Coturnix japonica: one gene and its partner. The protein of the gene in region 1 interacts with the protein of each later gene in a biochemical or structural test. Links are inferred from orthologs where the notes say so. Each region holds a gene or a part of one and is shown on either strand. Other genes may lie near its edges.

The links.
Region 2: the proteins of LOXL1 (region 1) and FBLN5 form a complex in vitro, tested with the Homo sapiens proteins (2 studies listed by BioGRID and IntAct). The link is inferred for Coturnix japonica from reciprocal best matches to the Homo sapiens genes LOXL1 and FBLN5.

What each region holds. Positions count from the first base shown.
Region 1 is NC_029525.1:1,660,717-1,668,738, reverse strand, and holds the start of LOXL1 (lysyl oxidase homolog 1), read right to left. Parts: upstream 5,005-8,022; 5' UTR 4,852-5,004; coding exon 3,816-4,851; intron 1-3,815. UniProt on the Homo sapiens protein: Catalyzes the oxidative deamination of lysine and hydroxylysine residues in collagen and elastin, resulting in the formation of covalent cross-linkages, and the stabilization of collagen and elastin fibers.
Region 2 is NC_029520.1:40,338,555-40,346,476, forward strand, and holds part of FBLN5 (fibulin-5), read right to left. Parts: intron 7,613-7,922; coding exon 7,493-7,612; intron 4,819-7,492; coding exon 4,696-4,818; intron 4,161-4,695; coding exon 4,034-4,160; intron 1,453-4,033; coding exon 1,257-1,452; intron 6-1,256; coding exon 1-5. UniProt on the Homo sapiens protein: Essential for elastic fiber formation, is involved in the assembly of continuous elastin (ELN) polymer and promotes the interaction of microfibrils and ELN. Stabilizes and organizes elastic fibers in the skin, lung and vasculature.

The DNA.
Region 1 (8,022 bases):
AACACCATCCTCATCCCCATTCCCATTATCACCCTCATCATCCCCATCCCTACCCCATCAGCCAGCCCAGCTCCTCCCTTTACACCAAGACTATCCAGCATGTTGTATATTTTCCCTCTCATTCCCCCCCTTTATTTCCCATTTCTTTTCCATGGGCGAGCAGAACAATGCCTTCTTGTTTCCCAGCCTGGCTTCCCTCGAGGGATCACGTCACTCGATTGGAGCTCGTTTCCTGCCCCGTTGCTTGGTCATGATGCTGATGTAATGCCCAGGGGGGTCTGTGGGGCGAGGGGGAGGCAGCAGGGCTGAAGTTAAACACAATAATAACACGACAGCACCCAAATGAGACCCTGCGAGGTGGCTGAGCTGCATTTCGGGCCTGAGCATCCACAGTTGGTGCCCGTCCCATGATGAGATGCTGGGAGGAGGAACGTTCGTTCTGATTTACAGAATAACTCTTCCTCTGTGCTGTTGTTTATAATAACTTCTTGGATGCTCAGCAGAGAAACCCGACTCCTTTCCCAGAGAGGATTTTCCACCCCCCCCCAGAAGCGATGCTGGTCCTGCTGTTATTTGTAGGGTCACCATCCCAGCCTGTTTGTGGGCAATGAACACCCCAAACAGCCCAGTCAGATCCTCCTTTTTGCTGACTATGCTCTTTTCCACCTCCTGTAAGCCCAGACCTGGCAGCCCCCATCTCCTGCCTCCAAAAAGGGACAACCACAGCAAGAAATTGTTTGTTTTTCCTCTCCTCCCCTTTGCCTCTCTGCCTGCCCGGGGAGCTGCCAGAGAAGATTTCCTTCTCATGCACCGTGAAAATTAGAATAATACCAAGCCAGGCCTGCTCCCCGCCGTGCTGTTTGTGCAGGTGTGCAGGGCTTAGCTGAAAAAAACCCACTTTTATGAGCCTGAATGAAGGGAGTGGGGCTGGCTCCTTCCCCCAGCACCCCCTGCAAGGGAGAATCATGGAATGGTTGGGTTGGAAGGGACCTTCAAGCCCCCCCTTCCCCCAGCTCCAACCCCTGCCATGGGCTGGATGCCCCCAGCAGCTGGGGCTGCCCACAGCTCCATCCAGGGATGGGGCATCACCAGGGATGGGGCACCTCCACCAATTGGAGAAAGCTGGATCCAAGCTGGCAAAAGAGACCTGAAGAGACACAGGAATCCCAGATCCATCCCAACTGTTCCCACCTCAGTTTGTCCATGTGCAGAACTGTCACAAAGGAGGGGAGCATCACCCCAGGCAAAGGGTTTGGGGCCACAGGTCTTATTGGAAGTGGTGGGAAGTGGGGAAGGACATGCTGGGCCCAGCAGTTGCTAAGTGACCCACGTATAAACACAGCCATCCAAGCAACATGAAGCTAATGGGAGCCATGTGGAGGCAGGAGGGGCCCAGCACCCCCAACCCATGCATCCCAACCTGAGCATCCTCAGCAGGAAACTCCTGTCCAAGCAGCCAACCAACCTGCAGACCTGAAGGGCAGACAAAGCTGGAAAGCAAAGAGGAGATGCCAAAGAAAGAAAGAAAGAAAAAATCAAGGGAAAATGGGCTTTTTCCCTCTTTTCTGTCTGCAAAGACAGCCAGATGTCTTGGCCAACTTCAGCTTCATAGGAGCTGACTCACTGCTCTGCAACATTCAGCTGCGCCCAAAGAGACACCCGCTCCGTGCTCGTGATCCTAAATGCTTCCTACAGGTAGAAAAGCCTTAAGAAAAGGGCAAAAAGCAAACACACACAAAATGTCTATCTATCTATATATATGGGAGAGAACTGGGAGGATGGAAGGAGGAGGAGGGATGGGTTGTTTTTGTTTTAAGTTCACGTGTTCAGGATTGCAAGCAGGCAAGAATACAGACAGACACCGCTTGCCTTCACCCTCAGAGCGGGGCCAGAAGGAGATGAGGTCAAAGCCATAAAATCAGCCCTTTGTTCAGCACTGCTCCTATGGAACATGGTCCTGGAGGGACTATGGAGCCTCGTGTGCCCTCACAGGGTGGAATTTTCCACAGCCTCCTCCTGGCACAGCTTTGCCTTTCCTGGTGCTGGAGGAAGCGGCTCCAGGTATGGGGTCGGGATAATGGACCCAACGTGAAGGCTTGGAGGGATGTGGGTTTCCTGCTGTGTCCATCCAGGATGCTGGTTGGGATGGGGACAGGCTGCCCTCAGCCCCTCGGATCCACCTGGATAAAGGCACAGGGATGGGATCGCTCTGCTCACCCCCAGGTGGCCCAGCCAGCAGTGGATGCCAAGCATTCCTCACGGAGCCAGGCAGGATTAGGGGTGTTTGAGCAGATTAGGAGCATAATTAACACTTGGTTCTGCTCCCAAAACTTGGGAGCAATTAAGGGAGGGTGGCTCCACAGGTGACCCCGAAGCCCAGGGACCCAGGGACGTGTCACCATCCTTATGTCAGGTCCTTGTTTGCTGCTTGGTGGCTCCGCTGATCCTAATTCCTTCCTTTTGTTTCTGATCCCAGTGTTGCCACCCCAAACCCTTTCCCACACGGTTGCACAGACCTCTCACTGACCCAGGCTGGCCACTGGTGCCGTGTTTACTTGTTTGCACGCAATGGGGCTGGGACGAAGCATGGCTTCTCCAAGGAGGATCCCTCTGAGATTGGCTTTTCCCAGAACCCAGGGCTGGGCTGGATGTTATGGGGTCAGTTGAGTCAGAGGCTCCAGCTGAGGAGGTTTCCCATGGGACAGGCAAGAAGCAGAACCCCCAGGCTGTTGCTCCTCACGTTTCAGCACAGAGTGAAACACTCAGCACAGCTCAAGCCAAAAGCCACAGGATTTCATCACTATTGGGGTCAGTAGGGCTCCTAGCTGTGGTGTCCCTGCTGGGCCTTCTGCCGGGGCTGATGGAGCACACGTCCAGCCCATGGGTGTAGGGTGAGAAGGGACACGACACACAGCCTCCCCATGAGCACAGCGTGTCCCCATCCCACAGCACACATCTACTCTATAACCTACTATATAACCTATATACTATATAACCACAGGAGGACTCAGGGCAAGGCATAAAACTACCCCACAAACACAGCAGGACCTGGGATGTGGCACACAACCAACCCACCACATGCACCCCAAAGTTGTAGGATCACTTGGAACATGGCACAGAGCCACCCCATGATTGAGACATGGCACAGAACCATCCCACAAATACAGTGTGTCCCCATCCCTTGGTACACGTTTCACCCACAGCTGTAGGAGGAACTGGAACACTGCAAAAGCCCATTCCATGGCCACAGAAGGAGCTGGGACACAGCATAAAGCCACCCATAGGTGTAGGAGGACCTGGGACACAGCACAGATCCACTCCATGGATGCAGCAGGACCTGGCCATGGCACAGACCAACCCCATAGACACAGCAGGACCTGAGACATGGCATCAAGCTACTCCATGGACACAGTAGCACCTGGGTCATGGCACAGACCAACCCCATGGACCCATGGGACAAGGCAGAGCCCCACTTCACGGACACAGTAGGACGTGGGACAAGGCATCAGTCCACCCCATGGACGAAGCAAGACTTGGGTCATGGCACAGACCAACCCCTTGGACACGGCAGGACCTGAGACATGGCATCAAGCCACTCCATGGACACCTGGGTCATGGCAGAGACCTACTCTATGCCTGACCACACTGGGATGTGCACCTCTTCATCCTCCACCACCCAGCTCATCCTTCCCACATCACACAGGGTCTCCGACCATGACAACATGACCACCAGACCCTGGTGCAAAGAGCTGCTACATCCAAGAGCCAGGAGCACCCCGAGCCCCACTTCACCCCTATAGGGCCCCACAACTCACCCCGTCCTCCATGGCTGGGCCTGTAGACGCTGCCCACGCTGAGCCGTGCCTGGCTGTCAGGTACAGCCTGTGCCACCTCGGGGCTCCTGGCCGGGACGAAGACATCGGGACGCACCGCCCCGTAGGGTTCCAGCGCCCTGAAGGGCGGCTGCGCCTCGTAGGGTTGGTATTGATTCCCATATGCCGTCCCGCTCACCGGCTGGGACCCGACGGGACCTTGGAGGTTATCGTTGGTGACGGCCGAGCCGCGCTGGTTGGTGCCGTACCCATCTGCAGTGCCGTGCTCCGGGACCGTCCCAGCATCGTGGTACAGGCTGTGCGAGTAGCGGCGGTCCAAGCCATCCTGCGGGGCAGCGTAGGGCCGCTCCGGGTAGAAGCCCTGCGCCCTGTAGGGGCTCTGCTCCTCCCCGTAGTCCTCGTAGCGGGCTCGGGGCTGGAAGGGGTACAACACCCCGGCCCCCGCCGCCGCCACCGCCACCCCACCGCCCCCTCCGCTTCGATAATACGTGTAAGCTTCGTCGTAAGCCCTCGGGGCCGCCTCGTGCTGCTCGAAGGGCGGCTGCGGGTAGGCGGCGTGTCCCGCGGCCGCGTAGGCGAAGGACGAGGCGGCCGAGGATGATGATGATGAGGACGAAGGCTGCCGCGGTCTCCCCGCCGCCCTCGCCCGCTGCGCCGCCCCGGCCCCGCCGCCGTCCCCCAGCGGCCCGTCCCTCCAGTTATCGGGCACCTGCCCGAAGCCGAACGGGTGCCGCGTGTGCCCTCGCACCGTCTCGGATGCGCTGCGCACCGGGGCCGCTTGCCGCCGTACCCCGGCCCGGCCCAGCACCAGGCGTGCTCCCCCCGGCCGCTCGGGGCCCGGCGGTACGTACTCGGCGCCGCTGTTGAGCAGGCTGTACACCCTGCCGTTGTTCTCCCACTGGATCAGCTGCCTCCACGGCTCCCCTACGCCGCCCCCCGCGGCCTCCTGCCCGGCCGCCAGCAGGCACACGGCGCAGCTCAGCGCCGCCCACAGCCCCCAAGCCCCGCGGAGCCCCATCGCCGCCCCGCTAGCGGCCCCCGGCCCCCGGCCCGCCGCCTCTGCCCATCCCCGGCGCGGTTCGGTTCGGTTCGGCTCGGCGCGGCGGCCGCGCTCGCTGCGGGGCGGCGGGATGTGGGGGGCGACGCCGGGTCCTAAGCGCCTCCTCCGCCCCCGCCCGGCAGAGGGAGGAGGGATTGGGATTGAGAAAGGGGGGGGGGGTCCGAGTGTCCCTATCCCAGATCCCGCCCCAACGCCTCCCCGCACCTCGGGACCTCCCCCGGCATCCCTCCCAACATTCCTTCTCCCCCATCCCCCCCCCCAATACCCCCCAAATATGAACCCCCAAAGATCCCTCCCCAATATCCCTCCCAATATGAACCCCGAAGATCCCCCCAGTACCCCCCCCCAAATACCTTCCCCAAGCACCCTCCTCCCAAGTACTCCCAGCCAGAAACCCCCCCAAGCACCCCCCACCAAATGCCCTTCCCAAATATCCACCCTCCCAAAACACCTCCCCCTAAATACCCCCCAATACTCTCCCTAAACCCTTTCCATACGCCCCCATAAAGCCTCCCCTCCCCAAACTCCTCCCCCAATCATCATCCCAAATACCCCCTTCTTAAATACCCTAACCCCCAAATACCCTCTCCCAAACACTCCCCCAAATGCTGCCCCACCAAAATACCCACCCCCCACATACCCCCTCCCCAAACTATTGTTCCCCCTGAAGCACAATCCCCCGACCATATATCCCCTAAATCACAATAAATGACACTGTTCCCAATCAGGATCAAAAGCCACAGTGGGATTTTCACCCTCTGCCTTCAGCCCCCTCCCCCAGCTCCCCCACCCAGTGCTTTGAGTCCAATCCTTCAGACATAAAACCACTGTGAAATGGCTCCAGAAGAGGGATGTGGACCCAAGACCCCCCCACCCCCCTCCCTCCAGCACGGGGGTGAGGGGCACAGTGCCCTCTCAGTCTTTAACTGCGCCCCAAAGTGGAGATTTTCCCCCTTAGAGTCAATGTGGGGACACCCGGAGATGCTCATCCCACCCCCCTTGGGGAAGGAGAGGCACCCAAAGCCTCGTCCCTGCTTCCCTGTTGCTTTAAGTGCCGGCTGTGCGTTTTCCACGTGGAGATTTTTTTCCTTTTCTCCTTTTATCCCTCCCTTCCTCCCCTGCCTAGACTATGGGGCCAGCACGGGGACGGATAGGGACGAGCTCCCGAGCAGGGCTCGCTCCAGCACTGGGCACCACCACGGGGACCGAAGTGACCCCCCCCGGGTCCCCCCAACAGCTGCGTTCCCCACCCCCCTATTTCTTTCCTTCTTTCTTTCTTTCTCCGTCCTTCCCTCTGCGCTCCTCCCTTCTCCCCGCAGGGACTGGAAATACCAGAGTTGATGTCATAGGCAGCGGCTCGCCAGGACGGGAAGCTCAGCCCAGCTCCCCCCCCCCCCCGCTGCGTCCCCATGTCCTATAGCTCTGTGATGTGGGATTCTGTCATGGAAGGGGATGTGGGGTCGTGGGGTGATGAGGATGCTCCCCAGCCCTGCACACAGCCCGGCTGGAGGCACACAGCCCCACAGCCAGCTTAGCCCCCTTGGCTGTCTTCAGACCCCCCCTTGACTCCAGTACCCCATACCTGGGTGTCCCGCATGGCTCGCTATCCCCTCCCCTAGCACGAAGGCACGCTGAGCAGGACCAGCAGCTCTGTCACATCACCCGTGTGACAACACTGTGGCATTAGGGACACCATCCCCACCTCCTTCACTGGGGGACACAGGATCCCACCCCACATCCCCAATGGGGTGGCCACGTTCTTGTCCCCAAGAAGGACCCTGGGCCACCAGTGGAGGCGGTGACACTGCAGCACAGTGGGGGGAGGGGGGGCAGCACCCACTAGATGGTGCCAGCAGCCCACACTTGGGTGGGGACAGCCACCCCCTCGGTGTCCCTCCAGTCCCCTTCTCATCTGCTTTACCTCTCCCCCCATAACCAAACCACTTCTGCACTGCTTCCCCACCGATGTGGTTTCCGGCCTGGTTTGGATCGATGCTTGCTTAAACTCTTAGGGTTTCCCAATATCACGGAGCTGTGCCAGGCTTCCCTCCAACTTCTGCATCCTCACTCAGGCGAAAAGAAGCACTTAAATAGGACTTTCCCTTCAGTTTTAATGCAAGATTCAGTGGATTCCAACTCTCCTCCCAGCTGGCAACTGGGGGCTTCCCGTTCATCCCATTATCCGCCCAATGCTCACCCATGGGAGCGACCAAAAGCCAGTGGTGACAACATCTGTGGGTCACCATGAGGATTCAGGGGGTTCCCCGACCTTCATTGCTTTCTGCAATACATCACCTCCATTACACCCACAGGAGGAATCCGTGCTGCTGAGCGTGGTGACTGCTCGCTCTGGAGTGGTAGGTGTATAAATATATAGTGAATAAAATGAATAGTTTTGTTTGTTCTGCTCTTATCTAATTTAATAGCTTCTGGGTGAGCAATTACGCTCTGTAACAAGAGCAAATAAGCAGCATTAACGTAATTGGTTGAGTATTACTGTGCTTTATGCTCCATAATGCAGCAGTAGGACCGTAGCACTTACTCCTAAAAGAGGTCTTTGTGCCCTGCTCAAAATAAACAGCTATCCAGCAGCTGGCCCAGGGGTTAAAAGAGAAGGAAAAATGGAGGAAGGAAAGAAAAATAGTCTTCAGCCAGCCAGGCTACGTACATGGGTTAAATGGTCATTAGTGCATCTCTATGCTTGGAATCATATCTGGGTTAATGTGCCCCGTGATGGACATCTCCATTAAGAGCAATTGAAAAACACGATGGGAACTGTCTGGGGAAAAAGAGAAATGTGCTCTGGGCATGGGGGGTGGGGGGGAATCTGACATCCTTCAGCTTGTTTGGTCTCTGGGATGAAGTGAGGGGCAGCTCCAGATGTGGTGATGTTGGCACTGGGGAGCAAACACCCTTTTCTTCCAGCATCAACACCCTCAGATCTCATTTCTACACCTCTAGAAGTGAAAGTCTGATTCGTCCTGTGCCATGCAGGAGGACCCCCCCAACCCCAAAGCCACCTGGCCCCTGGTGGCACCCCATGGTGAGCGCAGTGCCCATCCCTGTAAGCTGGTTAAGTTGGCTCCCAGCTGCTACAAGGCTGATTACCACTATGCTCCCGTTGATCCC
Region 2 (7,922 bases), on another chromosome or scaffold:
GTTTGCTGTGCACAGAACAAGAGGAAGCAAGTGAGATTTTCAAAAGCAGTTCCTGAAAACTGTAATCTCAGGTGAGACCACACGATGTGCACGAGCTTTCACTTCATTTCAGTGTTTGGCTCCAGCTCACTGTTTTGTGCAAACCATTGCCTTCTACACTTTTAAAGCCTTTGAGAGCCTGGCACATAAAGGAAGCTATTGTGCAAAGAAATCATCTGAACGGGGAAAAATAAAAAGTGGATTTAGAGCATGCATAAAAAATGTCACTTGTTTTTTGAGGGAGTCATATATTATTTAGTTTGATGTAAAAAACACTATTACTTTGAAGCAGCAAACTCCAGGAAGGGGTTATGTTACTGGGGCTTTGAAAACAGATGTTCCTACGTGAGTGGAACCAGGGTTTGCTGTAAAATTGCATATGTTAACATTGCAAAACCTCACCCTCTGAAGAGAGCTTTAAAGATGTGAAGGCATGTTAGAACATTTGTCTTTTACTAAGTAGAAGCAGAGCTTTGAAACGTCTGTCCGGAACAGCAGACTATGAGTATTTAAAGATCAGTTTCTGAGGTTGAAACTAAATGCAGTTTGTTTTCCAGCAGTAGCTGATATACATAAAGTGGGACCTGCTTTCCTATGAAAAGGAGCATTTACATTACCTCTGATAAGAGAGGCCTAAGAAGCGTTGAGAAGGAGCTGCCTGGAGAACCAGCAGCATCCCAAGCACTGTGTATCCCATGCCCTCAGCTCTGCCCACTCCTGCTGGGTGCAGAGCAAGGAACAGGCACCACCTGCTGGCTACACACCCGCACGGGAATGTGCTGCCAGGGAAGGAAAAAGACAGCTTGTGCCAGCAAAGTACTTCAGGTGACAAATGGATGGCTATGTGATAATTGAATACAAGGAGAAAGCAGTCTTGGGCAACGGTGCTCATCGATGCAGCCTTAGCAATTGCCAGTTTGACCCAGACTAGTGGGATTAGTAATGACTTTACAACAGGAAAGAGTTCATGGGATATCCATGATCACTCCTGGACCAGTAAAATGAGTGTATTTGCTTTGAGTAAGTTAACTTCATGAAAAAAAGAAAGACAGCAAAAAACAAATGCAGCTCCCACAGGCCAGTTTGTTGCTCTGCAAGTCTGAGTGTAAAAAATATCTCATACTGAAGGTTTAAATGGCACTCAATAAAAGTACAGTCCTTCTGTCAGAAAGAAACGCAGCTACTCCAGTTTTTTTCCCAGCCAGTGCCAGACTTACCCGCATGTAGAATTCCCTGCCCTCGTTCCCTGATTTGATTTGGAAGATGTAATAGGCTCCAGGGTAGCGAGTTGTTGCTTGCATCTGAAAGATGTCAGAAGGCACTGAACGCCCAGACAGAACATCCATGACTCTGTACAGGATGGTGAATGGTTGATCTCTGCAGCCGGGGTTTTCAGCTGGACACATACAGCGGCTAACAGAGAGACAGGACTGTCATCAGTGGTTACAAATCCCTGTAACACTTCATTCTTTACATTCTAATACAGCTGCAAATAATCAGGTGATCAACCAATGAATCAAGTTGCCAACAGCTAAAATGATCAATTTTGCTTGTAATGAATTTTCTCTCTGATACTGTTCTCTGCACTGCTACTCCAGTTTGCCTTCATCCCTGCTTTCTTTTTCTTGTCTTCCAGGTTTTGCCAAGGTATCTTGGCGTCACATTTGTCATTAGATCACTGAAAATTCAATACTTTCTTTAAGGAAGATCTGCAGGTGTAGAATGCCTTGTGTGTGTTTGTTCTGATAGTAATTTAAACTGGTAATTATTGGATCATTTCAGTAACAGTGTGACATAAATACTGTATTAGTGGTTTAATAAAAACAAACAGTGAGACTTCCTGGATTGGAACCAAAGCTCATAGATCAATCACAAAGCTCTAAAGAGGAGCAGAACAGCAAGTCAGGCATATGACATCTCCACCAGCAGCCTCCAATCATCTGCAACCTCAGGAAACCCTTGAAACAAAGATGTCTTCTGTATATTTGCCTTCCCTCAATGTATTTCTTACCCACTGACATGTTCAACTTCCCCTTACACCTCCATGACACCTTGCTGCCAATAGCTCCAAAGTCCCTCCCTGCGTGCCCACCTCCCTCCCTGCACTGCCCCTTGCTGACTTTGATCCTCTCAGCTCTTGAGAGCACACCCAATCCCTGCTCATTCTCCACATGCAGCTCATAGCTTCATATTTGACTTTCTTTATGGCTGGAGAATCCTAACCTTGATGCTTCTTACAAGGAACCGGTTCCCTACTCTTGATGGTCTTTGTCACCCTTCATGAATCTTTGTCTGGTCATATCACAGGTAACAAAACTGGTGACAATCTTGAAGATATAGGTACACAGTTGTACTTAGTACTACAGATCATGGAACCATCTGGAACAATCTTTAAACCTCACTTTGGAGGGACTATGATCAGGTCATTACTTTTTATTTTATTTAACTTGTGAAACTCGGATTGTTTTTCTACTTTACATTAATATACACTGAATTTGAATTTAACATGATCGTTGAGGCTCCTTCTGCAATTCTCTTCTCATCTTTCAACCTCTTATTCATCTGTGCCAGGTATTTCTTACTTACGGCTGCTTAATTTCCATAGAAGCCTGAAGTAGGGCTCTTTTCAGAAACCTTTGGAAACCCAAGCAGACCACATCAACCCATGTCCCTTAGCCACAAGCTGCTAATTTTTTCAGAGACCTCCAATAAAATGCAGGATATCCCTTTATAAAAGCCATGTTGGGGAATTTACTGGATGGAAAATAAGGCTTTTCTGTCTATTTTTTTAAATTTTTTCTATAACCTCCATCATTGACACCAGCTTCAGACAGTTCCTCTGGCACATTCTACATAAAACAGTTCCTGGCATTATTAACACCCCATTCCTTCCACAGAGAACACAGATGCAATGAATTTGCTTGACTTTTATACTGACCACTTCTAGACATATGCCACAAATTAAATGCAGTCACATCTAGATAGGAGCCAAAGCCACCAAATACAAAGCTTGGAGATCAAGAACTTTGGTGCAAGCTGATTTGTAAATACTCCACAGTTAGGCTCTGAGGCATTTAGATACAGAGGCTTTAGACATTTCAAGACCTAGTTTAAGATTTCAACTCCTCTGAAGGTACATAGACCCAGAACTGGCTGAACAAAACTTGTCTGCTCCTCAGCTGCCTAGCTCAGAAAGCAATGTATGGACACAAGTGCATTGTCATGGGATGCACTAAATTCTTCATCTCTTTCTTTTGTATAAAATGCATAGGCTACCAAGTAATTTCAAGAAATTGGATTTAGAACAAACATGGATTAAATTCTATGACTTGCACCACACAGAGATCTATCTGAGGCTGAAATATTTTAAGCTCCAGGCAAGTACCTACAAAAATGTAAAAGAACTGAGCACTACTTAGAAATGTGTATTGCACCACCGTCCCTCCTCCCTGGCAAAATGTATTTGCTCAGATGATTCTGAGTTTAGACACTAACAGCTAATTGTCCCATTCAGAATTACCCAGTTTTCAGACTGTGCAAATCACTCTGTGGACTGCTGTTTTTCCACACATCTAACCCTTGAGCAGTAGGAATCTACTTGTGTTCTGCTATAACTAGCATCTAATGTTTTTAAAGCACTTCCTGGACATGAGCTAGTTAGTATTTACAGGAAATATTCACATTAACAAACAGGCTGCATTTAAGCATATATGAAGTCAGTAACATAATTAAAGTGTCTTTAGTACATTACAAACCTTGCTGTTTCCTCTACTCACTGATAAAGTGTTTTTCCAGTCTAACTTCCCACACATCTGAGTATCTTATCATATCCCACCTGGTGACCTGGTAAGGAATTGCAATTTATTATTTGTATAAAGCTTACTAATGGTAAACTCTCCAGACATACTTCATGGCTCTGTTGCAAAAAGCAGCTTAGTTGGCTCACCAGGTATGCTTTATGCAGTTAGAATTTGTGGCTGTGGGTATTACTTACTTCTCATTAATCTGGATATAAGGTTCCTCACATCTTACTGGATCTAAACATTTATAATCTCCTGGGATATTGTAACATGTTTGCTGTAGAGTGCAGGTGAAGTTTCTAATTTCACATTCATTGATATCTAAAATACAAAAAAGCAAGAGAAAAGATAAAATAGCTTAAGACACTGCTATTCAGCTATTTCTGTCCAATGTCCATTGTAAGGAATTGACCAAAAATTTACTCTTGCACCATAAGAAGTGGCTTTTGATAACTGGTCCCACTTTTAAGATTAGTTTTCACCCCATTAATTTCCCCTGGTTGGAGTCCTCCCCTATGCAAAATGCTATAGAAGTAAAAAAGAAACTGCTGCTCAAGCTCTCTAAGCTTAGAAAAAAGTGAAAACTAAATAGAGACGTGCAGCAGAGAGGAGAGCATCTGAGGGCTTTACTGTGTAGCTGGTTATTAGTAGAGCCCTCCTTAGACCATCACACCAATTGACCTCATTGGGACTGCTCATGTGATGACGTTCTCACCAGAATCACATAATTGGCCCCTATGAGTATGTCACTATGCAATGCCAAGACTAAGAAACTGAGTCCTTGAAAACCACTTTCCAGATACTGGACTTATTTTCTAGTCCCTCTGGGTTTTAATCAGTGCTGCAATGCTCTTACCTTGGCAGCTTCTGCTATCATCAAGCAGGTTATAGCCCGAAGGACAGACACAGTAGTAAGAACCAGGCCCATTCACACATTCATGCTGGCAGAGGAACTCTGAGAAGCTGCATTCATCCATGTCTGTGGTGGTAAAACAAAGTTTAGAATCTTTGGCTTCACAGTTAAAAGCATAGTCCCACAAGCAGGTGGCCATCCAGACGTGCCTATCATCCCAGCTGGAGGCTGGCATCATCCAATTCCCTGGAGCTCTGAGGCAGCCTGGCAAAATGCTGTTAAACAAGATCTTGGCTAAATTCTTTATTATTTTATTTTATTTTATTTTATTTTATTATTATTTTAACCAAAGCTTCTGCTCAGCAAGATGCATGACTCTTACTTATTTTTCTTTCTGAATACCTGTCATCAGTTGGCCATATTTTCTGTTCTGTTTTACGTCAGAGATAGAGGTGCTCCAACTACAAAGCTACAACTGTAATTTGTAAGGAGAGACTTGATGGTATTTTTTTACTTTTTAATTTTTTTTCTTTTTTCTTTCTTTTTTTTCTTTTTTTTTTTTTTTTTCCTGGAGAGTGTACTTCCCTTTCCCAGAGCCTTATGGGTCCCAGTAGAAATCCTGTAGCCAGCCCTGGCTGTTTTATGTTACTTAGCCTCTAGCCAGTTACTTGTAATGCATTATAGCAAGACTTCAGAGCTCATCCCAGCTTGGGTCAAACTTACTGGAAGGCCCAGTGATCTCCCACATACCAAGGAAGCTAAGCAGTCTGTCCAGTCTCGGACTAAAATCAGTTTATGATCTCTTTTCCCCTTTTACTCATGAACTGAAAAGAAATCTTATACTGTGGAACCATTTTCAAATGGGAAAGATGCACTTCGGAGCTGCAATGGAAGCATGGCTGACTGAGAGGAAAACACATGCAAAGGCGCTAGAATGAGGGAGGCTGCTGTTAATCATTTCCTTCTTTTTCTGTGCAGGGGAAGAGAGAAACAAAGGCCAGAGTCCCAGCCAGGAACTCCCAAGTTCGAATTCCCAGCTCTAACATTGACCCTCAGAGCAAATCACTTTTACTCTTCAGACTGAATTTCCCTTTCTTTTAAATTGGACTCCGTCCATTTATCCACTTCTGGTGTTTCGTACAGATGTACTGGAGAGTGTTTGAAGTCCAAATACACTAAAATAGCTTTATGTCCACAACTACATTATCAAAAGAGATGAAGGGAACTCTATACCTGCACACTCCTGTTATGTCACTTGCTTCAACGAGTTCTCTGAAAAAGTCACCTTCCTGACAAAACATGGACCAGGGGCTGCCTCCATAAAGAGACTAAGACATTGCCCAGCTCTCTAAGCCTTCTAGCCCAGCCTTCCAGCACCATCAGATTCATAGACTCTGTGCCCAGCTGATGTCAAATGATGGAGATAAAGGCACAAGGGCCATATGTTTCTGTTTATGAGTGACACAGGGCAGATACCTTTGCTATTTCTAAACCCTTCTGCAGTACTACCAACTATGCTCACTGGAACTGCTTCCTTGGTGAGCTTCAGTGATGTCTAGCAATTGCTTGTGAAGTGAAGGAAGTTTATCCAGAGGAATACGATCTGCTTGTGACAAGTGTTTTCTGGCATAGAAGGGTTAAAGGAAGGTTTTCTGCCCTAAATCTGGGTGTTGGAAAATCCTTATTGCTGGCTTAACTTTCATCCATAAATGAAGTTCAGTCACAACCTTTACTGCTGCTATTCTGTTCAGGCAGTGTTTCTGTGGCTCTAGTTTAGGGTTAGGTTTAGACACCCAGATAGCTCAGAAGCATGGACAAGGGCACAGGAGTCTAACTTAGAAGAAGAAATTTCATTAGAAAGCAGAAATCTTAAGTTATGTGCTTCAGCTTTAAATATATATATACACACACATATATAAATACTAAATAAATATAAATATATAAATATGTATAATATGACCCTTTAGAGATTTCAGTCTTTGTACTTTCCTTCAGAATAAGGAGATTTGCATGAAAGAATAGCTTTGGGAACTCTAGTCCATACACATACTGCATATCACGTCTTCTCCCTCAGAAACAGCATGTTACATCTGTTTACTGTGAATTAAAAAACAAGTATTTTCCAGTGTTTTTTCTTCCAAAAAAATACTGGCCATGTTCTCTAATTTTCTCAAGCTGTGGGAACATTAAGCACAGAAATACATTTCATCTTCAATTAAAAAAAAAAAAAAAAAGGAATAAAATAAAAACAAAAACAAGAGAGGAAAAAGTAGAGTGACATAAGCAGTTTCATCTGCTATGAGATGAACAGATCGGCAATAACTGCTAAGAAATGGTACATGATTTCTGAAGTGCAGACAGAGCCATGCAGGGGAAAAAATGTGTGAAATTATAAGAGCAAAAAGAATACATACATTCCACAAATGGAAAAGTGCTTTATGCAAGAGTATTTCTTTAATTGTGGAAAAATGTTCTAGGACTGTCCCTGGTTTACTTGCTTTAGTACGATTCCCATTCAGCACTGGAAACCATTTCCTTATGTTCTGCTGTTATCTTGGAGCTTTTTAATATTTAGCTTAGTTCTTTACAACCTTTTGCAGCCCTCCTCCACTGCACTTTTCTTGGTATTTGCTGCATACCGTAACTGGAAGGAAGATCACATTAGTTGCAGTTATTCTGCTGCTAACTATAAACCAAATCAGAAGACTTCTTAGAAAAGCATATGCAAAACAGGACACTGGAAAAAGAAAGCATAATTGAATTAAAGAAAACAAAACAATAAATAACTGAAGACAGTTACCACTGCAGTTAACTCCGTCAGCTTCCAGTTCGTAACCAGGTTCACAGCGGCAGAGAAAAGAACCATAGGTATTGACACAAGTCTGAGAGCAAGGGTTTTCTCCCGTACATTCATTCACATCTACAGGAAGACAATACGCTGCATCAGTAACTTCTCTCCAAACTCTACTTTCAGTTCATTACTGTAAAGAATTTCAAGGAGATTACCTTTATAGTAAAAGTAATTTGTTCTGAAAAATATAACAAAGTCAGTATTATTTATTGAGGTAACAGATGATGCCAGAAAGAATGTGTTGGAAACAACACACATGGAAACAAAGCATTTTGGCAATGTCTAAAAAGAAAATAACATGAAAGATAGGGTGAAATATTTATTATGAATACTTGTCTCTTTATCTTGTAACATTAAAATCATGGAAAAGATTTTGTCA